Caenorhabditis elegans: one gene and its partner. The protein of the gene in region 1 interacts with the protein of each later gene in a pairwise test. Each region holds a gene or a part of one and is shown on either strand. Other genes may lie near its edges.

Region 1 (18,288 bases):
CCAGCATGATTTTGAAGACAGTTGTTCGTTAGTTTTTGACATGTCAAAATATTGGTCTCTTAACAGCCCATCATTCATAAAGGGTATTTCTCCACTTTTTCAACTTTTACAAAATCTCAAGAATTTTAAAAACTTATTTTCACACTCTATTTTCAGAATTTTCCATATTTTCCATATTATTCCTTTTCCTTTTATCAAACGTGACACTATTTGTTTCAGAAACTTCACAATTAAATATTTAATTTTTTAGGTGAAGTGAGACTGAAATGTGATGAGGCAGTCGACGAGTCATATCTGTTCACTTCTTTTACTTATATTCGTATATTTTGGTGACGCTTACAAAAATTACGAATCCAGTAGGAATCGACAAGCAGTTGGGTACCAAATTGAAAATGGTAAGATTCCTTTTCGAAAGCTTTGAGAAATTTTAAGCCTTCGCTAAAAATCTATGATTTTCAAAATACATTTTCTGCTCATCTTCGGTAACACATACCTAGGTTACCTTGGGTGTTATCCAAAATTTTAAAACTTAAAAGTACATTATTTATTCTCTAGTTGTGTTGTTATATACTGCTTAATATTGTTATGTTGAACTGAGATGACAAAAAGAGAAAATACAGTAAATAAATGTAAACCAACAAAAATACTTTTTTTTACACTCGAGAAACTATGATTTGAGTCTGTAAAAGTATTCTTGAATCTAAACTTGGCAAGTTCGAACATTTCAATTAAATTTGCAGTTATGAAACTTCGATGTCATCAATGTAATCAACCACGAGACTGTTCAACAGGAGTTTGCTATGGTGATATTTGTGTCAAATCACTTGTTAATAATCATTATGTGAGCAAAGGATGTGAGAATCTCACGTGAGTTATTTCCATCTCAACATAACCTATGAATTCATTTCAAACATTCAGGATCTCAAGCAGTGTATATGAACCACATCTTAAAATGAGAACTTATTGTAAAGAAGAAGAGGTAAGTCTTTTTGTGCATATTTTGTATATTTTCTTTTGCTTAAATTTTTTTTTTTGATTTTTCAAACAATTTCAACTTTTGGCAGGTTGCAAAATTAACAAAAATTTAAACTTTTTGAAAAATTATCAGCAATGTCGCGTTTTTTTAAAACTCTTACAGTCTTTAGATACAAATTTTCGACACATAATTAACTTATAAAGCTGGTCTAGGCTATGTTGGACTAAAAGCCCAATTTAGGCCCCGCCCATTTCTTGGTTTTTAGAGAGAAAAACCAGAAAACTATTACTTCTTAAAAAAATAGAGATTTTCCTGTAATTAAATTATTGTAGGTATTAGGAGTGGATACAATCAACTGCTATTGCCGTGATGCAGATTTCTGTAATTCGGTACCTACTCATCATTTTACATTATTTTCATGCATTGCTCTTATATTACTTTTACGGTTATAATCCTTGTTCGCCAACTCAAATGCTCTTCCATTCTCATTCGTCTTTCATGTTATTCAATATTTAGACTAACAGATAAATAATTGATATTTGTTTTCTAGAATTCGACTCAAGATATTTATTAAATAATACTTAATGGGGCAAACAACTTGGAACAGTTGATGGCAATACAAAAAAAAACAAAGAATAAAACTGAGTGGAGACATGATGAATTTGAACTGTTTTCAGTTATAGGTTGGAAATTATAAAATAGTGATATAAACTAATACAAGATGATAAAAAGATAGAACAGGTTGTGTGAGTATCTCGTCAGAGGGGGAGAAGCACTGGGCGACTCGAGAAAATGTCGAAAAGTCATGAGAACGGGATGGTGGGATAGTCATGAGAACAGGGAACAGTGAGCTATGAAAGGGGCATTTTATGATTTCTCAAGGGCGGCCCACGCCAGTTTAAGGAAAGCAATTTGAAAATGATAGATGTCGGAAATCTATCCGGACATATATTAGAGGAAAGATGGATAAACGAGAAAATGAAAAAAGAAAAACCATAGAAATGGTTAAAATTATTAGAATAAAATTGGCAATTGGAAAACGATTTAACGATGGTTAGATAAACTGAAGAGCTTGCGTTTCGCATCAACGCGTTTGAATGTTTCTGGATCACTTGCGGCGAAAGCAGCGATAAAATGTGGATTTTGCCAAAGATCCCAAATCAGTTGCTCCGTCCCACATGTGCATGAATCGGCTTCTGAGTGTGTTGCTGATGTTGCTGGTTTCAATTCTTCTTCGACGAGTGGCATTGGTTTAAGAATATCGTTGGCATTTGGCATCATTTTCTGATAGATCGGAAGGTCCATATGTGGAAATCCATACCTGAAAATTTTACATTGATTTACTGAGAAAAATAATTTTTTCAAACTTACGAGAATGAGCTGTTGAATGGATTGTTACCATTTGTAGCTGCTTCAAGACTTGACCAGCAGTTTGTCTCCTCAACGGGCTCATTTCCATCCGACTTTAATCCTGGAGATGATGCTTCTGATTGTGTATTTCGCAGATCACTGATTGGTCCAGAATTCACAACACTTGAGGTGGAAGGTTGAGATATGGAAGCAGTAAGTTCAGTGAAGAAGTTATCTGCAGAGAAAGTGGAACTAATCGGGCCAAATGATGAACCGAGAAAATTGTCTTGTTGCTGGAAATAATGTAAGGGCTCTTCTTGCTTCGCCTCAACTGGAGTCCCACTCCACACTGATCCAAGTCGGAGGTGTCCGAGACCGTTTGTCATTGGAATGCTTGAAGTCATTTTGAAATCATAAGCGAGGTCAGTTGAAAGTGGTACTGCTGGAAGTCCTGGTGGTGGTGGAAGACCTGGTGGAGCAACTAGGCCTGGTGGTACAAATCCAGGAGGTGGTAGAGCCGTGTTCGTTTCTTCCACAAAGATATTATCATCCTCGTCTCCAGTAACTGTTGGAAAGTCTTGTACAGATGGTTGAGCTGCAGGTGAACCAAGATTTTTTAAGTTCCAGCAATTTTTGGCTGGAGGAGGTGCAGCTTGAACTCGTTGAACAGGAGTTGGAGGAATAACTTGTTTCTTCGGTATTGGTTGCTGAAATTGGAAAATACTTAACTCTCGTTTTAGATTAGTATAACTTACCTCATACATCATTGGGAAGTGCTTTTCGCCACTTCCATTGATAATAGAATGAACTTTTGGAAAACGTTCAACTTTCTCCATTGTAGTGACCAAAACACATCTCATTGCATGTCTTCCATGACGTTCTTGAGCGTAATATGTGATGCGAACAAGTGTTCCAGTAGGTGGGATGTTTCCACTATTCAGGTCAATTACTTTTGCAAATGCAGTTCGTTTCAATCCCTTCTCGTCAAACTTAGCAAGGAAGATGCTCGGATTTTCGGGTCCATCTACAACTGATTGGATCTTCCAATTGTCCTCCGTTTTCAGCATTCTTGAGTTCTCGTCGACAATTTGATCATATTCTTGTTCTTCGACAAGAGAAGAACCACAGGCGACCCATGGAATATCATCATGTTTTCCGTTGTAAGCAATCTCTAGATGAACAGGTGTGAACGGAAGTGGTTTTGATGCCTGCATATATCGATCAGTACTGTTCCATGGAATGTAGATTCTCCCAACATGATCGTTCCACGCCCAACCAGCTTTTCCATGTGAAACCTTATTCATAATAGCACTTATGGTTATCGTAAGAGGAGTCAACTTTCTAATTGGATAGATCTGCAAAAAAAACAAATTAGTATTAATTTTACTCTAGTTTAAATTACCGAGCCCATATCTTCAGGATTACTTCCCATCAGCTTAGACGTCTTGACATCGGAAACACGACGCCCATCAAAGGTTATAAAACGACCTGGTCTCATCCAACTTTCATACAACGTAGGTGCAAATTCAACATTTTGGCAAGTGGGAGAAGTCACAGATATCACGTAATTGTCAGAGATATCATAGATAACACCCGATTGAGCTTGAACAAATTCAACTGATTGATGATCCGATTGTCGTTGAACGGCGGTTGGAGGCCCCAATTTCTTCATATGTGAGGTATTTTGAATGTCCGTAGGAGTAGGTGGTACGCTTGTCGTCTTTCTAGTATCATCATAAATAGCCCATGCTACAAACTTGCAGCCGTGAGCTTCTTCTTGACGGAAAATGTATATGAGATAAGGTTTGTCGATATATGCTCCTTGTCCGTACCAACACGCTCCATTCGTCGTTCTTGTTGAAAAAGGAACAAAAACTTTCGCAGTTCTTCCATGAATTGAAACATGCCCAAATTTTAATTGTTCATCCAAATAAGAAAGACTTCCATAAACTTGTAAAAGATCAGTTGGTTTAATTGCTGTCAATGCACTATAACGACCATTTTGAAGTTGAGCAGAAAATATTAAATGATCACCATTCTGTAAGTTATTTTCTAAAGTTCTTTGAAGCCACGATTCGAAGAACTTACCTCTGGTTCATAATATTTCTTTTCATAATTCAACCGTAAAGCACTATCAGGTAAGTCAACTAGACGATTATGTTGTTTTTCCAAAATCACACAAGATCTACCGGTTTTCCGAACATGTCCATCTCCTAAAATCTTCGACATCATTCGACTATCGAGTGCAATGCTGAAATAATATTAATGAAATTACGTTTAAATCAATTTGATTTGAGGTTTAAAGCGGAAAGAATAAGAGAAAAAAAGAGAAGAAAATTGGAAAATCGGTGAGGGAGAAGGAAAGTGAGAGCGATGGTTATGCAAGCTGTGATAAAGAGAAAAATGTGAGCTCGACGGATGCACAAAGGACCGTCTGCCAGTCTTATAAGAAAAAATAACATGAGCAGATAAAAAAGTGCAAAGATTGGGGGAGCATTGGGGAACAGTACTCGTCCGCCCATTACGTGAAGCCTCGGTAACGAGCAGCTGAAATTACAGTGACACTCTGATTCTAAGAAATTCAGGAAATATAATATTGCGAAAATGCCACAGAAACAGGTGAATTTCTAAGCTGAAAACCAGTGCTTGTCTCAGTTAGTCACTGCAGCTCACCGAGCATCGGAGATGTTTGCTTCAACACTCTGATAATTATAGGTTTATATCTAAGCGAGCTTTTTGGGGAAACGAAAGACACTGAGCCGACTGAATGGAATGTAAAATGAGAAAATGTAGAATGAGGCGGAGCTGCGAGCTGATATGTGTTGGTGGGGAGAATGACTGTTGCCAAGACAATCAAATCTCCAGAGGGGAAATGAATCTATCATAATCAATGAGGAGCCATGTGATAACAATGTATGAAGATAATAATGAAGAAGTAATGTGAATATGGGAAATGACAATAATAAGATAATAGAAGAAAGATATTCGTCGGGTTTCAAACCGATATAAGGCAATAAAATAATTATTTTCAATAAAATTGAAAACTCAACTTCATTTTGGTAGAAAGGGCGATTTTAGGAACAAAAAAAATCAACAACGAAGGTTAACAGGATAAATGAAAAATGAATAAATCAAAGAAAACAAGATATTAACGATCAAAAAAACCAGGAAAGTCCAGCTGAATGCAGTGGCAACGGAGAAATTGATGACACCTGAAAATTAAATTGGTTGAAAAGGTAATGCAATGTTGAGAAAATTGATAAAAATTAATTTTCAACCGTTGATATCAGAAGTTTTGGATGATAGGCTCTTTTTTTTTTCATAGAAGACACAAAATAAACAAAGGTCATCTATAATTTCTGATGAACGAACATTTTTAGAATTCACACGAGGACTATAACAAAACGATCGATTGTAAAGAAAATAGAAAATGCATTTTTTAATCAGTTCAAAGCCAAGATAATTCAATTTAGAAAAAAAAAAATTAATAATCAAACATGCTGCAGACCACTTTATATCATTGAATAGAAATAGAGAAATATGAAAAACGTCTGCTTATCAATATGTGATATGTGACTACAATTTTCGTCGTAGGCATTTTCCGAGAGCTATGAAACTTTCAGTGAAAAATTGTATGAAAGAAGAAGAGGCTGGAGGCAATAGAATTGATGAATCATAGGAAGACAATCAGAAGAAAGCTTATCATCGAACACGCAAACACACGCAGGCACACACACATATGTGAACGCCATCAATTATTAAATTTTAGCCTAAACTTGATTGAAATAGATCAGTTATTTTCTTTAGCATTCTAGGAAAAAGTAATTTAGTTACGGGTATTCGCCTTTCTGACATGAAACGAGCTATACGAATTATTGAACAAATCCGAAGAGGCTTGGTTTTCGAGAATGACACGTCACAATTACTTTAAATTCTCATCAATGTGTAACACACATCAGACTCAAATCTCAAATTAAAATATTCATTCAGACAGACTAGTCAACACCTTTTCGAATTTGTTGTATTTAAAAAGATTCAAAAATAGAGAAACAGTCTGAAATCACAGTTTTATAGTACACTTTATTGCTCTTATGAAATTATGAACAGCTCGTAGACAATACGAGGTCAGCTGAACTAAAATGGAAAGTAGCAGGTGGCTAGGGCTCCAGTCGTTCATGGGGACGGGGGACACGAATAAAAAATAGGATACTCGCTCTCACACACACACACACGGTGGTGCCAGACCTCGCGCACATATTGCCGGGGTCGAAAAGAGAGGAGCGAAATGACCGATGGAGGAAGAATAAGAAGAAGGCTATCCTCTTTTGATGAATATAGCCCCAAAGTGACCGGGCACACAAAAACACATTCAACCGACTAAAAGGGCAAACGAGAGGAATAGGAAAAGGTTAAACATACGTACCATATGATAAGTAAATTCAGGTTTTTCATTGTTTTTATATGTTGATAGGATATTTATGTTGAAAGTTAATATTCACATTGTTTTCGGTTTCATATGCTAATTATTTTCATGTGTAAAAGAGTGAAGCTCATTTGCGCAGTGGAGAGTGAAGAGTATGTCGCGTGATAAATATGACATGGCACGATATCAGAATGAGATGTCTGCATTACATTCAACTCACTTTTTTTAAGCGATAAGCTTAGTCGACTTGATTGTAGATGCACGAATTCCGCTCGTTTCTCCAGAATATTTCTGCATTTCGCGACGAACGTTTCCAATCTGAGACTTGACGCGCTTCTCGATGGCGTGGACCTTGCGACGATTTTTAGTCTGAAATTAGAAATTATTGAACTGGGAGACTTCAAAAAAAAAAACACACAACGCAGCTAATTGGGAGTTGCAGTAAAAATGAGCATAGTATACGTAACCAAGGATGAAACTCTCAAGTGTCGTCGCCTAGACGTTGAATTGTCTATGTCACAGTGAGTCTATTTTATTTCTTTCAAGAAAAATTAAGATTAAACAAAATCGTATTACTTATCTGTCTGAATAAGTCATGGTTATATGCTTCATTTGTGCTCGGTTTTCTTTTTGAGTTAAAATATGCTTCAGATAATTCATTACACTACGCTTTTTAAAAAACTTTTTTTGAATTCAGTAGCAAGCAGGTGTGATACTGAATTAATTATTTTCTTATCACAACTCTCGAAAAAGAATCTTAAAAAAATAGAAACCAAATAAGCAAGTTGAGATTTCGGCAGCCAATTACTCGCTGTGGTGGGGAGCATAGACGCCGTCTCGACGTATTGGATTTTTGGGTTGGAGCAAAAAATAGAGAGTTATGTAGTGTATTCATATTTTGATCTCACATGAAACTCGGCTTTGTGAGACTTTTTTGTCAAACAAGAATTGTTATTTTTCAAATATATTCATGTATTCGTGAAAGCATTGTAACAACATTTTCATGCACAAGAAATGTCGACCCTACTCATCGAATTATTTTTCATACACTAATTGTTTATGATACAAATATTTTTGGTATTAAAAATAAGATAAAAAATCGAAAATAAAGTTACCTTGCTGGTCTTGGCCTTCTTTTTCCCACGTCGTTCTGCGTATTCACGGTTTTTGGCAACTTTGTCAGAGGCCTTTCTTTTTTCATCTGCATCCATTGGTGTGAAGTGTGGATGAATTGATGTGTTATCAGAAGATGTGATTGTTGAAAGATTCTGAAAAAAGTAAATCCAGATCTTAATCCAATTCAGCTATGTTTCCTGATTTTTATTGACAAAAGAATGTACAATTTTTTTAAATTTTACAAACTTTAAAAATCTTTAAAATATACGGCAAACAAAAAATGTATTTAAATTCGAATAATGTTTTCCCTAAACTTACATTGTTCATAATTGCTCCAAAATTCTTCTTTGTAAGTTGAACATCTCCAACCTTCGAAATCAATTCTTCCATATTTTCTGGCTCCGACTCCGCCCATTTCTTGAGCTCATCCAGATGATCCGAATTCGAATGCAAAAAATCTTCACACTCGGTGATTTTCTGAATTTAAAAGTTTGTATTTGAAATTTAAATCAATCGGAATACCTTTTCAAGTCGTTTCAGCGACTCCACTACAGGATGGATGTCAACAAGTGGATCGTCGAGTTTTTCATTGGAAAACTGTTTGGCTCTGAGATTCAACAGGAATGCTGTGTTCATGAGGTATCTGAAAGATAAATCATAAAAATGGAAATTTAGGAAAAGAAAACATACGATGCATATGTCTGGGCAACGTAGACTAACTGCGATCGCAATGCGCATTTTGGAATCTGCTTGATTACATTTTCAAGAGGCTTCACGACGAGATCGAAGATGCGTTTCTGAAAAGTATAAAAAATTAAAATTAAACCGAAAAAAGGGGAAAATTGAACTGTTAGAATGGTGATGAAAAGAAACAAGTGAAAAGGAAGAAGAGAAAGATAACAACAAGAGAAAATGTTATCAGGTGAAAAGGAAACTGGTCACGAGCTCTCCGGAAACAGCTGTATAACAATTCTTAGCCGCTAATTAGAATTGAAAGTAGCAATATATAATTGAAAAACAGAAAAAGCTGGCGGTCGCTGCCGATATATGTCCAACATCGTTTGGTGTGAATTACAAACCGACCAGGTGAACAGAAACGAGGAAAACAAGACAAGTTATGAGAATAATTAGAATGTGATGTTTGAGGATGAGAACATACGAAACTAACTCGAGCAGTTCAGGCATCGAATTCTTCAGACACCAGAAGGGCACTTTGCTTTCGCTTTTTAATGTTCACACATAACGGCGTCTGATGTTGGATGATTTAAATCGTTTCAATTGTGTGTTTTGTCCGTTGAGAATCATCGTTTAAAGCGAATCGTCCAGCATCCTTAGGCTATGATGGCAACCCGTTTTTGACGTAATCAGAGACGATTGCGCGATTTGAGACCGCTTATCTACTAGCCATCGGTGGTGTTTAGTTGAAAGAATGAAGAGAACAGATGAAGTGAAAACGGGAAGATACTGAAAAAGAGAGAACACGAAAAATTAACCTTGGAAACGATACGAATCAGCATTTGATGTTCACAAGTGATAGCTTCAAAATTTAATAAACTTTCGAGAATTGGCATTAGGAAGAAATAGGAAATTATCACAAGAGGAAGAAGCTGCAACTGATACCGGGAAAAAAGTGAAGAGACATTTTAAAAAATTAGAACTTACTCTTGCTTCAAATTGTTCCAGAGTTTTCACGATTTTTTTGTTCTTTGTCCTTGCATTCTCCTCATTGAATTCTAAAACTGTTTCCACCTAAAACTTTTCATTATTTTAATTATTCTTTCAATTCGTTTACCTCGACAGTTTCTTCTTTTTCTTCCTCATCTTCATCGTCGTCGTCAAATAAATCAGCAATGGCAGCTGTCGATTTGTCGATTTGTTTTTGACGAGTCAACGCATCTTCCTCTTCGAGTTGAGCATCTTCCATTTCTTCTTCACGCATTCCGCCCCAATCTTTATCCACGAATCCAGTTCCATAGAAATCTTTCCTCTTTTTACCCCATTTGTTGTCCGTGATATCTTAAATAAATTACGTTAATCAGGTAATTCAGAAAGAAAACTACCATTAACATCGTCATCATCAAAGTCGGATCCATCGTCTTCACTGCTATCCGATGCTTCTGCTTCAACGTTTAACACCTCTTCTGGACGATTGAATGTTTTTCTTTTGTGAATAGCACCCTTTTCGACTTTTCTGTCTTTGTTATGAAAAGTATTGATTTCATCAATGAGATCATCATTTTCGTCTTCGTATGAGATATGAGCAGATCTGAAAATATATTTAATGATTATTTATAAATTGTGAAAAACATTCAACTTACGCTTTCCCCTTCCTTGATGACATAGTTCTAGTATCTGAAATCCAAAAATTAGCAATTTATAGCATTTTCAACAGAGAAACGGATTGCACCGACCGAAAATAAACCAAATTCTGATTTTCAAATCAATGAATAACTCTAATAAAGTTAATTATGCTTTAATCGTGTGATAAACTTCGATAAATTAATTTTTAAATGAATAGAACGAACTTTTACAAGATAAATTATTCAAAAATTGAATTTTCGAGTTGAATTTGAGAAAAGACGGGGGAAAATTATTAGCGGCAGGGCTTTGTGGGCGGGGTTTCTGATTGCAAACTACCCGCGCACTTTATTATTGTTCTATACACCCATTTAATGCTCACCTTTTTTTGTTTTGAATAGAACGAATATCACTTTTTTCTTGAATATGTCGAATTTTATTGACGAATTTGTATTTCTTGGTTATAAAACTTATGAACGATTAGTTCAGTTGATCCCATTATTCTCGGAAAAACCTGACACATTTCGAAAATACTTATTTCGAATACTTACAGAAAACGTTTTTCTGGTTTTAAAAACTAACTCATTTATATGTTTTCTTTTTCAGAATGACTGAATACGACAAGTTTGCCGAGCAGCTCCGTCATCCGGATAACCCAATCGTTTTTCTAGAAGTTACCGCCGGTGGTGCACCAATCGGAACTATTGTTGTAAGTTGACGACCATTCCAGTTTTAATTTGCTATATATTTCATAATTTTTCAGATCGAGTTATTTGCTGATGTAACACCGAGAACTGCTGAAAACTTTCGTCAGTTCTGTACAGGAGAATACAAAAAAGATGGTGTCCCAAACGGATACAAAAACTGCACATTTCATCGTGTGATCAAGGACTTTATGATTCAGGGTGGCGACTTCTGCAACGTAAGTTTAACAATTTTAAATTTTAAAGTTATATCATTTTTTCAGGGCGATGGAACCGGTTTGATGAGCATCTATGGTTCAAAGTTCCGTGACGAGAATTTCGAGCTGAAGCACATAGGACCAGGAATGCTTTCGATGGCTAACGCTGGCTCTGACACAAATGGTTGTCAGTTTTTTATCACTTGCGCAAAAACCGATTTCCTTGACAACAAACATGTAGTTTTTGGTAATTTTTTTTTATTTCAAATTCACGGATAAGTTGATTTCTGTAGTACAAAGAAAGAAGAATACGGATTGTGATTGTGATAAATGTCTCCAACGTCATTAGTTCTCCATCCCAATCCCCTGAAAGCAGTGTTTTAAAAAGAAAATCGCAAATTTTAATGATACCCACTGATAATGTTGGTGATACATTGATGGTGCCATAGTTGTTGTTTTATACTGATTATATGGGTTGAACATGCCAGCGTTAGCATACAATAAAGGAAGTAATGTTTGCAATGAAACGCATTTTAAAAAGAAAAAAATTAGAACGAGAATGCGTGTCATCGTCTAGCTAAAACAACTAGATTTCCTTATATCCTTATCACCTTTTATACGAGATAAAGCTAGTTAATGACGCCATTGATATGTTTGATATTTCTGACCGATCGTTTATTGCAGGACGAGTACTCGATGGAATGCTGACGGTTCGGAAAATCGAAAATGTTCCAACTGGAGCCAATAACAAGCCGAAACTTCCGATTGTTGTTGTTCAATGTGGCCAACTCTAATTTTCACTGTATTGTTATTTTGATCTCGTTTTGTTATATTCACAATAAACTATTAATTACTTCTGATTATATGGGTTGAAAAATGAAATGAAAAGACAGTATAAGTGACTGTTAGTATATCTGGTTCAGTTTTAAAAGCGAAGTAAAGAAAATAAACCTTCAAAATCGAATACTTTCAGAATAAATGCTCGAAACCAACGTGGATCAGAAGTCGTTCAAATTCAAGATCGTGTTGCTCGGCGAAGGATGTGTTGGTAAATCATCACTTGTGCTTCGATTCGTTGAAAATAAATTCAGCTGCAAACACCTGTCGACGATTCAGGTAATAATTTAGAAAAAGGTTGCGATAGATAATCCAAAAAAATATTTCTGGGTTTTTCTTCATTCAGTTATCAAGATTTTGATATGCATATAAAATATTTTCCAATTGTTCTTCATATTGCAGGCAAGCTTCCAAAACAAAACTGTGAATGTAGAAGACTGCCAAGCTGACCTACACATCTGGGATACCGCTGGACAGGAGAAATACCACGCACTCGGTCCAATCTACTATCGAGGAAGCAATGGCGTGCTACTGGTTTTCGATATCACTGATAGAAAGTCATTTGAAAAGGTATCAAAATATTTTAAAGAGCACCACTGAAATCATTTTTTTAAGGTTAAGAACTGGGTTCTCGAAATAAAAACATGCCTGGGAAATACTGCAGAGATTCTGATAGTCGGGAACAAGATTGATCTTGAAGAAGAACGGCAGGTCACTCGACAGGATGCGGAAGCATACGCAGAATCAGAAGGGGCATTGTATATGGAGACTTCTGCTCAGGACAATGTTGGAATCTCTGATGCTTTTGAATCTTTAACTGCGAGTAAGTTGGCCTAAACGTTTTGCATGGCTTGGGTATTGCCTAAATAAAAAATACCAAAAATTTCAGAAATGATCGAACATTCGCGTACTCGTTCGACAGAACCACCATCTACGAATCGATCCATCCGATTAATTGACAACGACGAAGCAGAAAGGAGTAAAAAGTGCTGTCGCTGATTAAAAGAGCTTAATGAATGCTTGAACACTTCCCCCCTTATACCGGTCACCTGTATTATTTTGTTCATTTTTCCCGATTCTTTTCCTCTACGTCACTTTCCTAGTCGCACTCCTGTCAAACTTTACGCACAATTCATACAATAATAAAATCATATTTCTATCTTAATGGTTCAATTTTTTTTTTTTAATTTTTTTTTTTAATCACTACTGTAGCGCCTGTCGATTTACGAGCTCGAATTTCGAAATGAATTTTTTTAACGTATAGTGACTGCTATACTCCATTTTCCTTCGATTCTTCATATTATTTTCTCATTTTTTGCCTATTTTAATATTCTACGATTCATTTCGAGAATCGATCCCGTAAATCGACACAGGTGCTACCGTAGGCATTTAAAGAATTACTGTAGGTTTCGCTACGTGATATTTTGGGCGTCAAATATGTTGCACAATACGCGTTCTCAGAATTTAGTGCTACTGCGGTAGCTACCGTAATACTGTAGAGATCTAGCGTGATCACCATCAGAATACACAATATTTTTAAAAATAAAAGATCACAGAACAGTGAGCTGATGATAGAAAAAAAATGGATATGTAATACTTGATCATTTATTTTTTCCCTTTAAACTTTCACGCAAATGTTGGCAGGTGTTATTATGTTGAAGCTTGCTCCATTTTCAGTCTCAAAATTTTCAACTTCCTATTCCTGGAAAGATTACTTTCGAGACATTGTTCTGAATAATGTATAATTCCACAACTATATCATTCAAATGCGGTAGCAACTACAATTTGATATCTCAGCTTTTAATATATTTTGTGAATGCCTCCTATCTTGGAGTTGGAGTTTTCCTACATATCTTGATATTAAGAGTTTTATTATTCAAAGAAAGGCAGATATTCCGCAATAACTCGTTTTTTCAAATATATGTGATGGATTCGATTGCAGTGAGTTTCTGAAAGCAGAAGCACGAGTTAATCCATATCTTTCCAGAGCACATTTCTTCTTCTAACTGATATGTTTTTCGTTCGATTATTCATGTATGTACCTCCCCTTTGTGCTATAATTAGTCCTTTTTTCTGGGATCCTTCCATAACAACAAAGTTTGTGTACGTTTCTATGAGTCATGCAAGATTTTCAAAATCAGTTGCTCAAAAAAAAAAGGCGCGCGCCTTTAAAGTCGTAGAAGTGGAAAAAAAAATGCACTGTAACTGAGTGTCTAGTTTCTCAAGAATAATTTAATTATATTTAAACATAATTTAAACTTATGGTTGATTCCGATTGCCAGAATATTAGTTGTTATGTTACCTTTTATTGGTACTTGGAATGTCATAATCTCAAGAGTTTTTGTTTTCCCGTCTGATGGTGGATTTGCGATGAATTATATCAGAAATGTAGAATGGGTCAGTTGAATAAGAATAAAACTTCTATCAGTTTTTATTCAAGTTTTGAATTTTTTAAACCCACTCACTGTTTGAGTTGCATAAATTCCACGAAAATGAGTAGACTTTGGAGAAGCAGATTTCAAAGTACTGGAAACAAGTATAATTTTTTATTCAGGCAGTTTTATCTCTTTTCCAATCAATTTTCATATTTACTGCATTAGGATTTACGATAGTTTGTACATCAATCACTTTATATGGATTATTTGTTCTACCAGACAGGATAAAATCCGCCGAAAAAACTCTTTGCTTTACAAGTTTATTTGTATCGTTATGCTTTCTATTAGTTGGAGTCCTACAGGTTTGAAAATGTGACCAAGGTTTTAAGTCATAGGTATGTTGCAGATTGCCTTTGTGGCATGTTCTGTATGTCGTACTGATTTTAATATTCTTTATTATATGTATTTGATGAGTTTTTGGACGTTTGAGGCGTTTAATGTTGGGTACGTAAATCAAGCAACATGATTTTTTTTCGAGTACCCCTAAATGTAATTTCAGAACTGCACTGGTGATGCTTCTTACTAATAAGCATATACGATCACTTGTTTTCTGTTGGAAGTCCAAGAAAAAATTGATAATAACTTTTGATCTTAAATTTGTGACGAAATCTTTACGCTTTTTTTCGTTATTATCAATTTTTTTTTGAATTTTGAAATGCTTGCTTTTAAAACATATCACTTAAAATTGCCTGACGGAATAGGATGCCTGACGGAATAGGATGACATATACAAACTTTAACAAAACTGATGGTTCCCAAAAATATGGTCCAATAACTGGACAAAGTTGCGGAACGTAGATTACAAGACGATTCAGGAGTGAAGTAAGGATCAAAATAGAGCTCTGAATGATCGAAATTCATTTCTAGAAAATCATGTGTGTTGGAAATTTTGAAAACGAAAGTTTAAAACCTACTTCTATGGAATCCGACACGAAAATCTGAAAGAAAGAACTTCTACTATAGTATTTTCTTTCTTTTAAAACGATAATTCTGATAATTGATAAATGCAGAAATAATCCTATTCCTTGATATATCAGGGTTACAAAATATATTGATATTTCTTTCAGTGGATCATAGTCATTAAAATTGCAAACAAAAGGGATTGAAGAATAGTTATAAGGGTTCATGGCAAGGCGAATGAACAAGAAAATGATGACGAATGAAATCACAGACCAACACCTTGTCAACTTAATTATCCAGAACTTGCAATCTGTTTTTGAGCAACGTAATCTCGTTTTGAAGTATATAGGTGCAGGATATAATAGCACCTTTAAGTGATCAGAGATACTTGTGAAAACTTGAGAATTCGACGAATTTTCAACTGACAATTAACAAGTTTAAACTATGGTACCTTGTTTCAATTGTTTCAATGTAGTTTTTACGTGACTGGTCGGTAAAAAGATGGGGTACTGATGAAATTGAGAATTTAGCACACTGCGAAAAAAAACTATTTTTTAACTGTCACAGCTCATCACCCAGAAAGATGCACATCCAAAGAAAACATTTTCATAAATGTTGAAAATTGTTGAATTCTGGATATCAAATAATTGAGAACTATGAATTACGAGATTCTACTTTCTCCGTCACATTGAGGAATTTGAATAAATAAAACGAAGTTAAAAAAAGGGTTTTCTGGACATTTTCTGTTCAGGCTGCGAATTCAGCTTACTCATAGTCAGTTTCTTTTTCAGAACATTCAGAACGTAAAAAGTCCTCAAAAAAATTAGACCTACACTTTTTTCCAATTATCTAGGAAATTGGGGAAACCCCAATCACAGATTGCCCTACAGTTCAATTTTGAAAATAGCTGCTATTTGGATGTGATGGAGCATACGAAAAAAGACCCTTAGCTATTGTCAAACTTTTATTCTTGTATAATATATGCAATACTCTTCAAAAACCTGTAGCCAAAAATTTAACAATTTTTCAAGAATCTGATTCCGTGAAGAATTTTGCACAGCTCTGACGTGTACTTTATATCAATAGTAAGTCAATCGGTGTTTCCTCCACTCATTTTATTAATAAATTTCCGACTATACTTTTAACACTACGAACGAGTTCCCATTTTTCGTTTGCATAGTCTTCAAATTTTCGATAAGTTTACCAAATTATAGCCTTTCGCGACTTTCCGACGTATGATATTCGCAGAAAAGGACATTATTATCGTTTTTAATTCTTAGAGATATTTTTCTTTGTCACCTGCATGTACACACCTCCCAAACCACTAAAACTAATCAAACCACCTGTTCCTGGTCAAGTTATTTTCAGTGAAAACAAAAAAAACTTATTTATTGAGCGTAGAATGACTACTAACTATTCCGAACCCGATCCACTTGTTTGTGATGAAACCTATAGCTCTAGCATCGAAATTTTAAAATATCTTTTAACAATATCATATTTAATACCAGGAGGAATCCTTCATTTATTCATACTTCATACGATTTTAGTGACGAGAAGAGGTTATTTCAAAGGTAGCTCTTTTTTTGCAATTTTTGCACTGGATTCTGTTTCGGTAAGACAGTAGCAATTAGTTTGCCTTTTAAAAGTTTTTCAGAGCATTATAATTGTTTTTATTGATTCATTTTACGGTCGTCTCTTTCTTTATGTCCCTCCACTTTGTCCCATCGTTGGCCCATTTTTTTGGGCGTCATCATTAATTCCAAAAATATATTTCTACTTGAGTGTTCACACAAGATTATCTAAATGCGTAGCCCATATATGTATGGTATTGAACAGAATGACATGTGTTCTAATGCCAACTTATTATGGCCAGGTGAAGCTGCGACTTTCAAAAAAAAACATGGTATCAAAAAACCAAAGTTTTCAGATATGGCGTAAGTTGACCAAAGTGTCTTTAGTGATAATATGTATTCTTCCATTGGGTGGAACTTGGAATATAATTATTTCCCCAAGATTTTACGTTTTACCATCTTATGGTGGATTTGCTATAAGCTATGTCAGAGCAATTCCTTGGGTACGTCCAATTTCAAGACATTACATAGAATCTCTAATACATAGCTTGGAAGATTTGTATATCATATTCTAGGCAACAACAATTTATTTCAGGCTTCATCTTCTTTGTTCCAATCAATTTATATCCTCACAGCTCTTGTTTTCACTTTTATATGTACATCAGTTACTCTCTATAAGCTCATTTCTCTATCTGATCGTATAAAATCAGCTGAAAAATCGTTATGTTTCTCAAATATTTATATTTCTCTCACTTTTTTAGCAGCGGCAGCTAGCCAGGCAAGAAGTTCACATGATCATACTTTGATTTTCAGTCAAAAACGTATTCAATCAAATTAAATTACTTATATTCAATAAGTCTACGTATGAATGTTTAGACATTGCTCGCAATAATTTTTCCCGTTATTATTTGAATTTTTCAAAAAATTTCAGGCTCTATATGCGTTTTGCACTAGTTGCATGTCATCTGATTTATTATTCACTGCTCAATTTCTGGCGTTTGATATGTTTACTGTTGGGTAGGCGATAACTTTTTGATGTTTAATGCATTAAGTTTCAGATCTGCTGTTATATTATTTTGGAGTAATAGCCAGATACGTGGATTAATACTTCCTTCAAAAGCAGAAGACGATCGGATTTTCAGAGTTCAAACGATCAATAACTCATTTACTCATTGATCTGAAAATTGAATCAGTTAATAAATTTTTTTAAAGGTTTTAAATCGTTTTAGAACATACGTTTGATTGTTATGTTTCTAAAAAGATTGAGAACTTCCAAAAACATTTACTTTTGATTCTGTTCTCAGATTCATGAGTAAGTCAGCTATTTATTCTTTGAAAATATAGATTTTTGAAGCAGAAATAGTTTGTATTTGTTTGTTTAATTATAGTATAAAAGTTGAACCTTTATTGAATTACGTACATATTTACGGAATTTTTATACAAATTTCGTTGTTGAATTTGATATTTTCTTTTCCTTCTTTT
Region 2 (14,893 bases), 4.9 Mb from region 1:
TCGTCGAGTTCTTCAATACCTTCACCTATCTCTCCACCAGTGCCGAATCCAAAAGCAGAGGATGAGGAGAAGGTATCGTTTTTTAGACTTATTTGCAATATTCCTCAACATTTTGAAAACTTTCAGCCGTCTCTAAAACGCCCTCGAGAATCCAGCCCAGCGGCAGTAGAGACAGAACGAATAAGCCAGCAAATCAAACGAATTTTCGAGCAATATCCCGAGAAAACCAATCTGATCCGGTCTGTGCTCACCTACACCGTGCTTGCTTTTGATGAGCCCGACGCGGATTTTTCGACGGCTTCAGAGGTGTTCGGCGATCTAGCAGCAAGGTTTCCAGTTCGGAACTCAAAGCGATGAATCTTTTTAATAATAAAATTGTTTGTTGATCTACGTATGTTATCGAATAACTTTATTTCCAAATAAAAAAGCAACATTGTAGTATTAATATGGGCACGGTTCCCATCTATTAACCGCCGAGCCGTCTTTAATTCCTGCGCTTCTCAGTGTTTCGTCAACTCGGAGCTTACTATCTGAAAAAAATTATTGTGCAGTGATAGCTGAAAAAATATGAGTTTTTGGTTTTTAGCTGATTTATAAGACTTAACAATTAACTAGAATATAAACTGCAGATCACAGCGCCTCAAATCGGGAGAGTTGTGAAAATCGAGAATTGGAAAGTCCAACGGAGCGCGCTTGCACACTTTTACGGTATTAAATGAATTTCACGCGAAATTTCGCGATTATTCGAGTTTTCAAGATGAAATTTGGAAAAAATAATTAAATATTGGGATTAATATTGCTTTAAAAAAAATTAAAAAAAAAATTTTATTGAACAAATTCAATATTTGGTTGATTTATCATTGATTTTCGAACCGATTAGAACAAGTTAACTCTATGACAAAATTTCTACGCGAAACCAATTTTTCAAGCATCAATATGCGTGATTCCAATTTTTAAACGTCAGCTTGATAGAAATAACACGGTTTCAAGTCTTGAAATTGCTCAAAAATACCCAAATTAACGGAAACTGTTTAGTTGGCAGTTGATCTTCACTAAACCAACACTAAATGTTCAGATGAAATCAAAACTTGTTTTATCATTTGAAAAAACATTTTTGAATTATTGTTCCTCACAAAAATCAGATGATAAGTAGTATTGCATGATGAGAATCCATATACAAACCACTACAAGTACAACTTACATCTTTTATTTTAACTGCACTTTGTTCTGAAAACTCGTCAAGTTCGATGATAATCTCTTCAAAGTGAAACAAACTTTCTAACTTGTTACTATCAAATTTAACATCAGAAAGGTGAAATGTTTTTGCATTTTTCCAATGCTCCATTTGAGTTAATCTATTAAACTGATCAATTGAGCCATCCACTGTCAAAACAAGTTTGTCCAACGTTTGAGCAAGTATGGGAGAATTTCAATGACGTCATTGAGTGAAAATGCAAGTCCTACCTCTTTCACATGAATACATTTTTCTGATTTCAAAAAATCCATGAGAGATTCAATGATTTTGCAATTATCCTTTCTATCGTTAGAAATATAGAATATCGAAGTGTGTTTCATGATTATTTTCAAATCCGTGAACGCTAATTCCACAAAGTTTTCTCCTTCAATTCGTCGGCATGGTTCATCATTGTAAGTCACAGTTGTACCACCACCGTCTGCATTGGCATATATGATCTCAAATTCGATCAAATTCATTTCAATGTGACCTTCCTCCGTGATATAAAACAGGACTGCATCGAAAAAAACTCCAAATTTATCGACAGCTGCTCTCAAACCTCGGCATACTTTTCGAGTCGTCAGTCTGAGACAGAATTTACTTTTTTTTTCTGATTGTTGGACTTTTAAAAATAAAATGAAAATTCACTCACAGATCCATGAGCTCCAACTTTTCCAGAACTAGATTGGCGACATGTAATGGCATATTCAGAAAATGTCCATGAAACTTTCATTTTCAATAAATTCTTGACGTCCAGCACAAGTCACAGTTGTGCCACCATTTCTTGCTTCATCGTAATTAATTTCAATATTGCCCAATTCCAAAAAAATATTACTCTTATAAATGAAAACTTGAGCCGCATTAAATTGAACTCCAAACTTGTCAACTGCGGTTCTCATGCCTCGGCAAACTTTTCGGCAGACCAGTCTGAAATTATGTTCAATATATAAAAATTTTATTAGAATTTTATTCAGAATTTCAAGAGCTTTCCAAAATCTACAAAAAAAATTCAAGACAGATTTCAGTGCTTTCTATTTTTTAAATAGTTTTTTAAAAAGTTTTCAACTAATTAAGTACTTGAAATTTCAAAAATTGTGCCACAAAATAGGGGTGAATTTACTGTTCCCAAAAAAAATCTTAAAATCAAAAACTCACAGATTGGATGGTTCTAGCTTTTCAAAAATTTGATCAGCGATTTCCAAGGGCATACCGAGCAAACTTGGTTTTTCGGGCATTATTTGGATATAAAACTGAAAAATATAGAAATTAAAAAAATTCGTAGTATCACCCAAATTTCAGAGAGAAATTTTTTCCCAACATCTTTACCAAAAAATCGGAAATTATAGGTCCAGATAAAATATAATATTAAACAAAACAACTTCGTACACCAAACTGTGCATTTTGTCGTCAACTCGGGTGTTTGCGTACCTTGCATTATTGTGGACGACACAAAAAAGGCTGTAACAACTCATTTTCTACGGGACGTTTTGAAAACACAACGGAAAGCAACTCACAGATCTATCGGCTCCAACTTTTCCAGAACTACCACATGAAGAGGCATACTGAGCAGTGTGACTCGTTCTTTTGTTACTGAAAGTTTTGCATCTTGGTTTGTAGCAGACATATTTGTGGTTCAACGCTGAAAATCTAGTATTTAATTGTTTTTTAATGAATCAAAAATGTAGAAAATACAGTTGAGTGCACCAAATCAATATCAATTTTTAGGAGTAGCAAGCCTTTATCTGTTTGCTCTCTTGCTTTCCACAGTTATTTTCTTATCAGTGTTCAGCTGACATGTAGTTTATAATCTATTCAATCAAGTGTGAGTCATTTTTTCGCAATTTGAGTACTCAAAACGTTCAGTTTCACTTCCTTTATGATATGAACTTTGATACCAAGCTGAGGTTCCTTAGTCAATCCCACGGGTACCGGATGCCGGAGGTAGAGGAGCTCGACAAACTCTAGTAATTCCACGAGATTGAGAACGTATTGGAAGTGTTGGTGAAGGGGCATGTGCTGGAGGTGGTGGAGCGGCACGTGTTGGATACGATGCAGATGAAGAAGATGTTCTAAAATCGTTTGACTCATTTGTTTAAAAAGTTTTAGCTACCTCATTTCGTATTATCTCACAACATGTAATCAGTCTTACTTAGACGTGTGGAAGTGGTCCTTGATCTCTTCTCATTCTAGTGTCATGTGGTCTTGCCGTCGCGCGTCTATGGGCGCGTGACGACGAGAGACACGAGGCACGAGAGCAAATGGCGGCACGCCTTCACGAGTAGAAGATTCTTCAGTCGAGAAAGACCTGACTTGCTGGCCGGACGAAAGCAATACTCTTGTCGTCCGGCTCAGTACGACTCAATAAAGGTATTTGAAAATACTATCAAAGTGTTTTTACTATGATATTGAAACTAAGGCCGAGCATAGGCCATAGCCTTTCAAATGGAGGTCCCCAACAGACAGGAGTCTGTCCTCGTGTGCACCTGCAGGTTTTTGGTGGGACCTACTGCAGGGTCGGGGACAGCTCCGCGAGCATCGAGGTCGAAAGGATTCAGTCCAGTGCTAATAAGACTACCGCTACTACCATTACATCTACTGTATTCTTCTGCTCACCTCCCTCCCCAAGCTACTATTCTATCTAATTCCATCTATATCTTGTCAGCCGATTTACTTTGGATTGCATTCACTATGGCCGGTCAATTTGAAAGGGAAAATGCCCACCTTGCAGTCGTTGGAACCAACTACAATCGGAAGAACTGGATTGAGTTTTACATCAGTGATAATTATTATTTTGTTCCAATGTTAAAGTCCTTTAGTGATTCAGTTTTTTCCCAAAAAGCCAGAGAGCTATTTAAAAAAGAGCCAAAAAGGGCCAAGAGAGCCACGTTATTTTGAGCCATATAATTGCGAGGAAAATACCGCAAATATTTTGAAAAATTGAGCGAGGGACAAGTTCGGTCAGCGAAACAAGTTTTCGTTTGAATGTTATTTGACATTTAGGGTTATTTTGTTTCTTTTTATTGTATTTTGGCCCGATGAGATATTAGCTTGGCATAGTTTTTTTTTTCGCTTTGATTGTTTATTTCTCTTTTGGAATTGGCCTTGACTCGAGCATAATTCTATCTCTGCTCCGTGGACGGAATTTACATCAGATACGCCAATGCAGATAACGGAGGTTCAACTGTGAGATGGTACGGAAATCAAGAAACAACACCTATCGAAGGAGCAAGTTCTATGAAAATAGCATTCCAAGATTTGAAAACAGTATTGAAGCACACATCGGAATTAAAAATTTCTAACGAGTGCAATGAACACGAGAACACGAGAACACGAACGAGAACGAGACGAGAGAGAGACGAGAGAGAATCATTTATTGAAATTTTGAAATCAGTTAAATGTATTCACGTGAAGACAATAAAACTTGACAATTTCTCATTCAATAATGCCATCACTATTCTCCAGTATTGTAACACCAAAGTTCTGGAGAACATTGAATTTTGGATAACCCATATAAACAATCAGTTTGAAAATATTGCTCATCTGGATCAATGGAAATGTGCGAAAAAATGCAGTCTGCTTGGTGATAAGCTTGAAAGTAGACTAATTGATCATCTGTTCCACTTTCAATGGTTCCAGATCCAACTGGACGACTTTCCAACATATATTGCAATCAAAATTAGAGATGTAAGTTACAATTAAAGCGTTTTAATTGATGATCAAATATTTTTCAGGATCTAATGAGAAGAAGTACATTTCAAGGTTGCCGTATAAATTGTGACAAATCAAAGTCAAATCCAATTGAAATTGCAAAAGTGTTCAAACCTGACTATGCTGGCGGCAATGAGTTTCTAATTGAATATTCAATCGATAATGCAAACTTTGTAATTAAATGCAATTTTTTAACCCGTTTTATTTTTTGGTTTCTCGTGCAAAAGTTATGAAAAGCTTTTATGTTTTATTTTTGAAGCCATTCGATTTTTTGTCAAAAATATATTAATAAACAAACGAAATATTTTTCATGATCAAAGTCAAATGAACAATACAAATGTAGAAGTAAATCTATAAAAATATTTTAATTAAACAGGAAAACATGTGAAACTGTTCGAGTTGTATTTTCTTATTACTACGAAATTTTTACAGACCATATATAAAAAAAGTTACAATGAAATAAGGAAAACTAATTTAAAACTCCTAAAGTATTCTACAAACAAACAAAGATCACCACTTGAACTTCAAATGGTTTTTAGAGCTCGAATATAAAGGTAAGAGATATAACTAGACACTTTGCATTTGACTGAGAATTTTTTATCATCATTCGAATATTCAAATTCATACAGAGAGGCAAGATATCAGAAAGTGATTAACTAAGAAATTGTAGAACATATTAAAAACTATAATAATTAATTAAAATCATGTGTTTATCTTTCAAGATGAGGGAGTTAGAGCAGCCAGTAGAATAACAAAAAGTATGCAATACAAATGTAAGTCTAACTCCCCCATCTTGAAAGATAAAAACGTAGTTTAAATTGAATATCATAGTTTTTGATGTGCTCTACAAGTTTTCAGTTGATCACTTTTTCATATCTCGCCTCTCCGAAAAGATAGGAGTTGTCGAAGTTAAGGTATCTAGAGCCGTAGAGGGTAGGAAGAATCTGATGGTTCCTTATTAAGGAAAAGAAAATATAACACGAAACTTGTAAAAAATGTTAATTTGATCATTTGTGTAAGTATTTGAGCCATTTTTAAGGAAAATTGGAAAGCAACACTTACATAAGAAACTTGGCGTATCACAGATCACTTGGTAGATTGGAACATTGAAATTTGATCAGAACTATTTGTATTTTTAGTGATTTTGCTTGATTTATAGCTTTATTCTATTGAAATCTTTGATTTCATAAAAGTTTTTAAACAAATTTTGCAAGATTTCCCTTGATAAATGTTGCTTTACTTTTTTATCGATTTCGTTGTAAAGAAAAATCATTTTTCGGTGTTATCAGTCAAATTAATGACTAAAACTTTTTAAAAAGATTCAAACTAATAATAAAAATTCTAAAATTAAACATTTATGCAATAAATTGCTCTAAAATCAATTTTTATTTGCAAAATTCTGTTTTTGGTCAAAAAAAAATTTCAGATTCGCCGAAATTCAGAGCTCATTTCGAGCTTATTTGGGGAAAAATTTATGTTAAAATTAAGTAAATCGCATCGCGAACAGTCTCTGGGCGGTCCCGCTTGTTGAAAATTGCTTTAAAATCCCTAAAATTCAGCAGAAACGCGATACACACAACGTGAAAATGTGTTGAAAAAACATTCACCATTGAAACGGATTTCTTCTCTGTCTATCGGCGCCCCTGGAAACAACTGGGTATCTTTCTTGATTGCGAGTTCGGTTTCAAATAGGAACTGTTTCAAAGCTTCACTCCATTCGCGCTTGCCGTCACGTGTCAGTTGGAAGAGGATTTTCGCGTCGTTCGTCGGCAAATTTTCATGTACAGCAGCCTCTGGTTTTCGAGAAATTTCGTTCTTAATGGATGCTCTCCTTCATTTCATCACGATGTTTTTGAAAAGCCTCCATCATTGCTTTATTGAATTTTTCTTGATTTGCCTGATGTTCCTTTCGCTCGACTTCCAGTTTTCGAACGGCTTCCATGATTTCCTTGTTGAGTTTTGTCTGCTCTTCAATGACTTTCTCAAGCTGCGAATCGGATACAATGCCCGAGTTTTCTGGCTTCTGGAAAAGTAGAATTTATTAGGTGCTAACAAAATAAGTGTTACCTTTCCAAGAGCCAAACCAATATCTGCAGTCTCCATGCGAAGTTTTTGGAATTCAGACATCAAATTGTCCGAGCGGAAATTCGACATGGTCGCCGAGATTTGGAGAAATGAATTTAATTGGTAGCAGAAAAATTAATTGATTCACGTTTTTTTGAATAAAACATTTATCTTTCTTTTAATCAAATAATAATAATATCCACATTCAACAATAAAGTTCAATAAATTAACAACAACATTCACAATCTTCATCACACTTTTCATCAGTATGTTGCTTGATGACAGAACCGTCCTTAATTCCAGCTTCCTCAAGAGTTTGATTATACTGAAGCTCCTTGTCATTGAGCATGAGACGTTGGCGATGCAGTGCGAGGCCACCGTGCTTCAGGAGGGCCATTCCGACCGTGTAGATTGTGTCAAGGGAGTCCAGTTCCATCGGGATTCGGCTTCCGTGAAGGATAACATTGAACTTTATGTTTTTCGAGCCAATCTGAATAATTTTTTTGCTAAATTTACGGGCCAGGGGTGGGCGGCAATTGACAAATTTTTTTGTCGGCAAATTCGGCGAATCGGTTAATTGCCGGTTGGCCGATTTGCCGTTTCTGGCAAGTTTCCGATTTGCCGTTTGCCGAACATGAGATTAAGCCTATGCCTAAGATTAAGCCTAAGCCTCAAGTAAGGAACACAATCATCTCATAAAATTACCTTTCTCCGGATGGCTTGAGTATCCTCAGTCACTTTCTTGAAAAATTCCCTCTGTGCCTCTTTCATAGCATCGAGTCCAGTTTGGAGCAACTTGATCGCATCCAAAACATCATTCTCCTCCTCCTCATCTTCGTCTTCAGAGGTCTCATTATCCTCATCAAGCTTCTCAAACAGCTCCTCCTTGAAAATCTCCAAATCATCGCTGAACTCCTCCTTCTCCCGAGCAAACGCCTTCTTCATAGATCTGATTGCGTCGAGCATTTCTTTGTTGAAAGCGTCTTGGATCTTCTGACGCTTCGAACGTTCGATGGACATTTTCTGAATCGCTAGCATCAGTTTCTGGTTGACTTTATCCTGATTTTCACAAAACTTGTCAAATTTGGAAATGCTCAAGGACGTGATCGAACCGATGGTGGGACCCTGGAATTTGGAATAAATATTAATAAGGCCGATACAATTCAAATTCAAACTTTCTCAAGGAAATTATTGATTCCAGCAGTTTCAGATCGCAAATTTTCAAACGCCGACATCAAATCCGACGGTCCATCTTTATTGGTAGATTTTCCAACAGTTGGGGGCATTGCAGAGGTTATTTTCTGGAATTTAATTAAATTTTAAAATAACAAGAAAAACGGGAAAAGGACACACAAAAAAACAAATCAATGAGAGAATGAGCCTCTCCCCTGCATACCGATTGTAAAAGGGGATCGGAAATCGCCTCGTGGCAAGTGACCCACTTTATTGGTGCGCGGCGGGGAGATCAATTTTTTTTTGGCATTTTTGAAGATTATTAAAACAAAGAACCACAAAAAATGTAGTTGTCCTGCGCCTTACAGATGAAAAATGCAGAAACTCAATATATGAGCGGAGCAACTTGTCATCTAATATGTACGTGATCTTTCAACGATCAGTTACTAAATAAAAATTTCGAGTTTTCATTTCCTTTCCGGCCCAGACCATTTTGCAAAGTCCCGGTCATACTCTAAAGATGGCAAACTCAGATAGCATTTCTTTCTTTGCCGTCTACCGTCTCTGCCAGGGGTGTGCGGCAAATCTCAAAATTTGCCGAGCTCGGCAAATTCGGCAAATCTATTTTTCCAATATTTGCCGAGCACGGCAAATTCGGCAAATTCGGCAAATTTGCCGTGCTTAACAAACTCGGAAAAATTATATATTTTTTGATATTTTTTGGAGCACCAAAACTACTGAATTCTTAACACACCTCTGGTTTCTGAACAAGTTAGGTGTAGTGTGTCTGCTTAAACATCAAAATAACTCAATTTGTTGTCATTTTACTAAATTTTTGGCGAAAAAATCAACAGTTTTAGTCAACATTGTACTGTCAAATTTTTGACGTATGCGGCAAATTTCGAAATTTGCCGAGCTCGGCAAATTCGGCAAATCTACTTTTTTGAAATTTGCCGTGCTCGGCAAATTCGGCAAATTCGGCAAATTTGCCGCACACCCCAAAATCATCATTATTGGCAGCAGAGACTCTCTGCTGCCAATAATGATGATTTTAATTTGTTTTAAAATTGATTTTTTTTGTGCATCTTCAAACTGACGTATCTCGAAAAATACACATCTGGAAAACAAATGTTTAACTAACAAAATGATCAGAAATATTTTTTCTTTTTAATTCATTAATTTTTATCTCAATACACCAACTTTTTGTAGAGTTAAGTAGAGACATCAAAGCCATTTTACCAAAAATCACAAAAAATTTTGAGAACTCCTTTGCTGTACCCGTCATAACCCTACGCCCATCAAATTTGAAAAGATAAATTTTGTTGGATAAAAAGTAAAAAATATTTCTCCACGTTTTATTAGTTTTAAGATTTTTGATATTTTCATGTTCCGCCAAGTTACAGACCGTTTTTCGAAAAAATCCAATTTCGCTCATAAAACTCTTCATATCCAACGTAAAAACTTGAAATTTTGAAAAATGATCACTTTTTTGAGGTCTCTACAATGTCCTAAAAAATCTTTCAAAAAATCCTGCCCATCTCCAAAATCGTCCTTCGCTCCGAAAAATGAAATCGGACTTTTGCTTCTCGAGAAATGGGCGAAAAAATCAAATTGCGATTTTTGGGTCGAAAAAAATATTTTTAGAAAGCTGAGAACACGCTATTTACGAATTTCGTGTTCATTTTAATTGATTCCTTCTCTGAAATGACCTAAAAATTAAACAAAAAGAACATAATTTTAATTCTCACGTAAAATTTTTTGGCATGTTGCTCAGTGCTTCAATTGTTTTCTTGCGAATAAAAAATTGACGTGAGAATTAAAATTATGTTCTTTTTGTTAAATTTTTAGGTCATTTCAGAAAAGGAACCACCTAAAATGAACATGAAATTCGTAAATAGCGTGTTCTCAGCTTTCTAAAAATATTTTTTTCGACCCAAAAATCGCAATTTAATTTTTTCGCCTATTTTTCGAAAAGCAAAAGTCCCATTTCTTATTTTGGAGCGGAGGACGATTTTGGAGATGGACAGGCTTTTTTGAAAGATTTTTTAGGACATTGTAGAGACCTCAAAAAAGTGAGCATTTTTTAAAATTTCAAGTCGATACGTTGGATATGAAGAGTTTTATGAGCAAAACTTGATTTTTTTCAGAAAACGGTCTATAACTTGACGGAACATGAAAATATCAAAAAACTTGAAACTGATAAAATGTGGAAAAATATTTTTCACATACAACTAATTAAAAGTTTTCTTCTGAAATTCAATGAATGTTGGGTTATGACGGGTACAACAAAAGAGTTCTCAAAATTTTTTGTGAATTTTGGAAAATGGCTTTGACTCTGTGTGGCTCTACAAATAGTGGGTTTATTAAAATAACAATTAATTTAATAAAAAGAAAAAATATTTCTGATCATTTTGTTAGTTGAATATTTGTTTTCCAGATGAGTATTTTTTGAGATACGCTAGTTTGAAGATGCTCAGTTTAGCGAGTTTTGGAGGATATTTGCTCCACTTAGCGTCTTTCCCTATATTTTTTTTGTTTGAAAGTTTATATAGACATATAGAGAAATGCTTGTGCTTTTTGAAAATATATTAGTTTCCAGTTAAAAGTTTTGAAAATATGCTCAAAATATGTTTCAAAGTCGCAATGCTCCTAGAGAACATTCACATTTTTCGTTAATTTTGATGAGTTTTTTCTAGTTTTTAAAACAACAGAGCTTTGGCCCTTTTTACCTCTACTGTGGTATTTTCCTGCTTGGCACTTTGCCAAGAACTCATAAACACTGCGAGTACGTTGGACCTCCAGTTTTCCCAGGATGGGGCCTATTGATCGAAAACGCAGCGTTTGTAAGGTGCAAGGGTGGATGGCAGACACACCATTCATTCTATTTATTTGCTGGTTTAGTAGGAACTGTTCTCCTCCGTTTCTTTTACTGTTTTGTTCTGTTTCCTATGTTTCTTCTAACATTTCTCCATTTTCCAGAAAAATCATGTCTGCCGAAGCTGTTGCTGCTGCTCCAATCGCCGAAGAAGCCACCCCAGTCGTCTACTACAGCATTGAGTCTAACGACAGAGTGGTCTTGAAAATCAGCGAGCAAGCCATCAAACAATCTGCAACTCTCTCGAACTCCATCACCAACCTCGGATACAGCGCTGAGAACGCCGAGTCAATGGTCCCGATTCCAATCGAGAAGGTCAATGGGAAAACTTTGAAGCTGGTTGTTGAATGGTGCGAGCATCACAAGGCCGACCCGGTTCCAGAAGCCTATCCATCTGGTAACACAGTCCTTCCAGTGTGGGATCGCAAGTTCGTGGACATTGAGCACGACGCCCTAACCGATTTGGTGAACGCCTCGAACTTCCTCGAAGTCATGACACTTTTGACTTATTGCTGCAAGTTCATCGCGGGTTTGGCAAAAGGAATGTCGCCGGAAGAGATGAGAGTGTTTTTCTGCATTCCGACGGATGAGGAGGATGAGAAAGCGGAGAGGTTTGGCAAGGAGAAGACCGAGGCATCTGCAACTTCTGCTGATACAACTGCATGATTTCCATACGTATTTCTGATTTAAATAAACTTAAACTCTGTCTAAAAATGTTAATGAGGTTCGCACTCAGGCGCACCAATAGCTCCTTGTCTGTCCAGGTTTACGTAAAACTTTTCCCGCTCTCTCTTCAGAATAGAACGCAAAAAAACAAATTCATTAATTTCAGACTAAAATGTCTTTGAAAATCTGTGACCTTCACAATTTTTATTTAAAAAAAACATAGTGAACGAAAAATAAAATTCGGGCTGCCAAGGGGGATAGACATACAGTGCGCCCAACTTCTATAGCGCCCCCTCGAATTTTTGATTTTTTCTAATAAAATCCCCTTTTTTTGGCTTTTTCTAAGAACAACTTATTCATGACTTAAGTTCAAACTGATCCAGACATCTTGCAAATCAATTTTCAAAAGAAATTTATCCGTGGAAATTCGTAGGATCTCTAAAATTGTCCTGAAACGCCTAATTTTATGTTAGAGGGCGCTGCGCGATGCTTGTTTATGCTTGTTTATTCATTCATCATTAGAATACAAAGAACCCAATACACGTCTCAAAAGCTTTCGGTCCTCTCGATCTTTCCAATTGCTTTAGCAGCATGGTGTTGAATGGAATGAGCAGGGCAATTATATCTTATAGATGTCGAAATTGGGAAACCGAGATACCTAAATTAGGAGTTTACGAAAGTCTTGAAAAATGTCAAAAATTACATTTTGTTGTAGGAAGGTGTACGATAAGGGTTGCTATTTGAAGGTGATGAGTAAAACGACTGAACTCGTGGAAGATCAAAGAATTCCTCCTTTCCAAAAATGATCCGCAGGGACTGTCTAGCGGCCTTGATTCACTGAAATGATAAAAATGCAATAATTATTGAAGTAAACAAATTGTTAACAAAAGAGACGCGTGGCCAGTTTTGTCCTTAAAGGGAAGTTCTACAAAAAACCATATAGCATTTTAATAAAACACATTTATTTTGTACTAAACAAGCTATAAATCAGAAAAAAAGAAAACTAAAATATCGGAGACATTGAAATACACGGATTCGGATATTGCCTCGATTCCCATAAATACCTCGCAATTGTCGTACAATTTACAGGCACCTTACAGTACACATGTTGAACTTTTGCAACTATTGCATTTGACAGGCTTTCCACAAATTCAGGTTTTAAAGGCCATCTTTGGACTGTGGGCGACTTGGTTGGAGCCGTGGGATGCCAATCGGGAGCCTCCATTCTGTGTAGGGTATTTCGGTAGTGTCTGGAAAAGTTATTTATTGTGAGGGGATTTATGAAATTCTAAGACTTTTGGGCTTTTACCTGACAGCGGCTTGAGATGCGTTAAGCTTGACCGTGTTGACTCCAAACTGCTTAGCAATTGCATAGTGAATAAACATTATTCCTATCTGAAATCACTCAAAATATTTGAATTTCCCAAATCTCCCACTGACCTGCTCCGGTCTAACAATAGCCTTTGATGCATTCCACGTGGGATCTATGGTGTTCGTCCATTTCCGGAACATCATATCTTCTTTCAGCTGTTCCATTGAAGTGAACTTTTCAGGTGTATCTTCATATTTTAGAATATTCAAGACGCTCACGTGAAGCTCCCCTACGCTTCTGGGTTGGGATTCTATGACTTCCAGCAGGTTATTATACTCGGTTCCAGACGAGATTCGTTCGTCCAGATCCAAAAAGGTGATCCATTTTGAGTGATATTTGGATCGGAGGTGGCAATCCTGAAATGGGAATTTAGAATGCAGGCAATAGCGTAGGCACGCAGGTAACCTTGACGCCTAGGCACCTGGGCAAAAAGGTGCCTAGATACCTAGGCATTTAGTGAAGCTAAACACCTAGGCACCTAGGCACCTATTTACGTAGACACATTGGCACCTAGATGCATGGACAAGTAGGCACTTAGATATCTAGGCAATTAGGCACATAGGCACCTACATACTTAGGCACATAGGCGTGTAGGCACGTAGGCAATCTTACCTGCATCATCAAAAGGTGCCATGCATAAGCTGGTCTTTCAAACTTGTCCTGTAAAAATGTGACCTCAACATCTCCTGTTCTCACATATTCCGTCAACATTTTCCGATCGTAGTCATTAATCGTTCCGACATAAAAGTAGAAATATGTTGCGCCCTAAAAAGTTTAAAAACAAAACTTAAAATTCCTATAAAAAACAGCATCACCTCAAGCTTCATATGCTCCACAAAATCCACAATTTGAAGCCATTTTGATTCGTTCCCGTAGAGTGGGGCTACACAGACCGACAAGTCGTGGACGGGTTCTGGAAATTCAAGTCGTTCCAATTTATGACTAATTGAATCAGATTGTGGAGTCGGAAAAAAATTTGTTTCTTTTTGGATGTCTCAAAATTGAAACAGGTCTGTGTGTATGGAAATTATCGAAAAAAACGTTTTTTTGCGACTAAAAATTAAAGATTTTTCCGCGATAAAAAAATCAAGTTCTCCAAGAACACGAACTTCACACATGTTGAAAAAGGTACCTCATTACAGAAAAAGCGCCCGTCTGTAATTTTCTTACCATCATAAGCCTTGAAGCTCAATCTGACTGGCTCCGGTGTAGACGAGTTGAAGCCACTGGAAACTGACACAAACTCGGCTCCGGCTCTTCTTGGACAGTGGACCACTGATTCGGGAAAGACTACACTCTCATATGCACTTCCCAAGAGTTCTCTCCGTTTACAGTCGTAGTACCGGCAGTAAATTTTCTGTTGGCTTAGGTATTGTGAAGTTAGGGATATTGAGATGAGCTTCGGGTATACATAGGCACCCAGGATGGAGGTTGAGGTGTAGTTTTGATTGTTCTAAAAAAGTTATTCTCAAATATCCAATTTTTGACTTTTTGATTCAACTTTTGGTAATTTCCAAAAATCACTTACTTCAACTGATAAGTTCAACCTTCTCCATAGCCACCGAGAAAACATATCGATATACGACTGGAACTCTGAATCCGTATGAACCTGATTCCAAGAAGCCACGTGACATTTTCCATCCAGATTTCTAGAGTAGCTTTTTTGAACTGAAACTAGTTTGGCTGAACTTTTTTCATTTTTTTTTTCAAAACAAATACCATAATCCTTATAAAGTAAAAGCCCAATAACAACAAGCAGCAGCAAAATGAAAACAGCGATTCTTGGAAAATGCTTCATATT

What was found.
Region 2: the proteins of T01B7.5 (region 1) and F54D10.7 interact in a two-hybrid assay, tested with the Caenorhabditis elegans proteins (2 studies listed by BioGRID).

The regions. Positions count from the first base shown.
Region 1 is NC_003280.10:8,708,763-8,727,050, reverse strand, and holds T01B7.5 (Sas10 C-terminal domain-containing protein), read right to left. Parts: upstream 10,218-18,288; 5' UTR 10,207-10,217; coding exon 10,184-10,206; intron 10,132-10,183; coding exon 9,926-10,131; intron 9,882-9,925; coding exon 9,658-9,881; exon of another isoform or gene 9,615-9,657; coding exon 9,528-9,614; intron 8,663-9,527; coding exon 8,556-8,662; intron 8,509-8,555; coding exon 8,388-8,508; intron 8,343-8,387; coding exon 8,184-8,342; intron 8,018-8,183; coding exon 7,865-8,017; intron 7,119-7,864; coding exon 6,975-7,118; 3' UTR 6,970-6,974; intron 5,539-6,969; 3' UTR 5,366-5,538; downstream 1-5,365. Other genes in the region: nssp-20 (Activin_recp domain-containing protein), read left to right, coding at 272-395, 741-867, 919-979, 1,309-1,428; trcs-2 (TRansport of membrane to Cell Surface), read right to left, coding at 2,021-2,297, 2,348-3,033, 3,082-3,681, 3,729-4,364, 4,415-4,555; T01B7.13 (uncharacterized protein), read right to left, coding at 11,334-11,430, 11,480-11,634; cyn-11 (Peptidyl-prolyl cis-trans isomerase 11), read left to right, coding at 10,771-10,872, 10,927-11,085, 11,131-11,311, 11,749-11,858; Ras-related protein Rab-21, read left to right, coding at 12,043-12,180, 12,304-12,471, 12,517-12,724, 12,791-12,900; srg-15 (Serpentine receptor class gamma-15), read left to right, coding at 16,638-16,847, 16,890-17,108, 17,163-17,309, 17,402-17,584, 17,738-17,823, 17,865-17,982; cup-16 (uncharacterized protein), read right to left, coding at 18,242-18,288.
Region 2 is NC_003280.10:3,812,990-3,827,882, forward strand, and holds F54D10.7 (Ubiquitin-like domain-containing protein), read right to left. Parts: upstream 8,308-14,893; 5' UTR 8,293-8,307; coding exon 8,182-8,292; intron 8,132-8,181; coding exon 7,712-8,131; intron 7,497-7,711; coding exon 7,233-7,496; 3' UTR 7,160-7,232; downstream 1-7,159. Other genes in the region: lido-15 (MADF domain-containing protein), read left to right, coding at 1-72, 127-357; fbxa-24 (DUF38 domain-containing protein), read left to right, coding at 4,469-4,918, 4,966-5,175; skr-15 (Skp1-related protein), read left to right, coding at 11,166-11,720; gtnt-31 (Glycosyltransferase family 92 protein), read right to left, coding at 12,724-12,970, 13,030-13,115, 13,161-13,448, 13,705-13,857, 13,908-14,005, 14,263-14,545, 14,621-14,760, 14,812-14,890.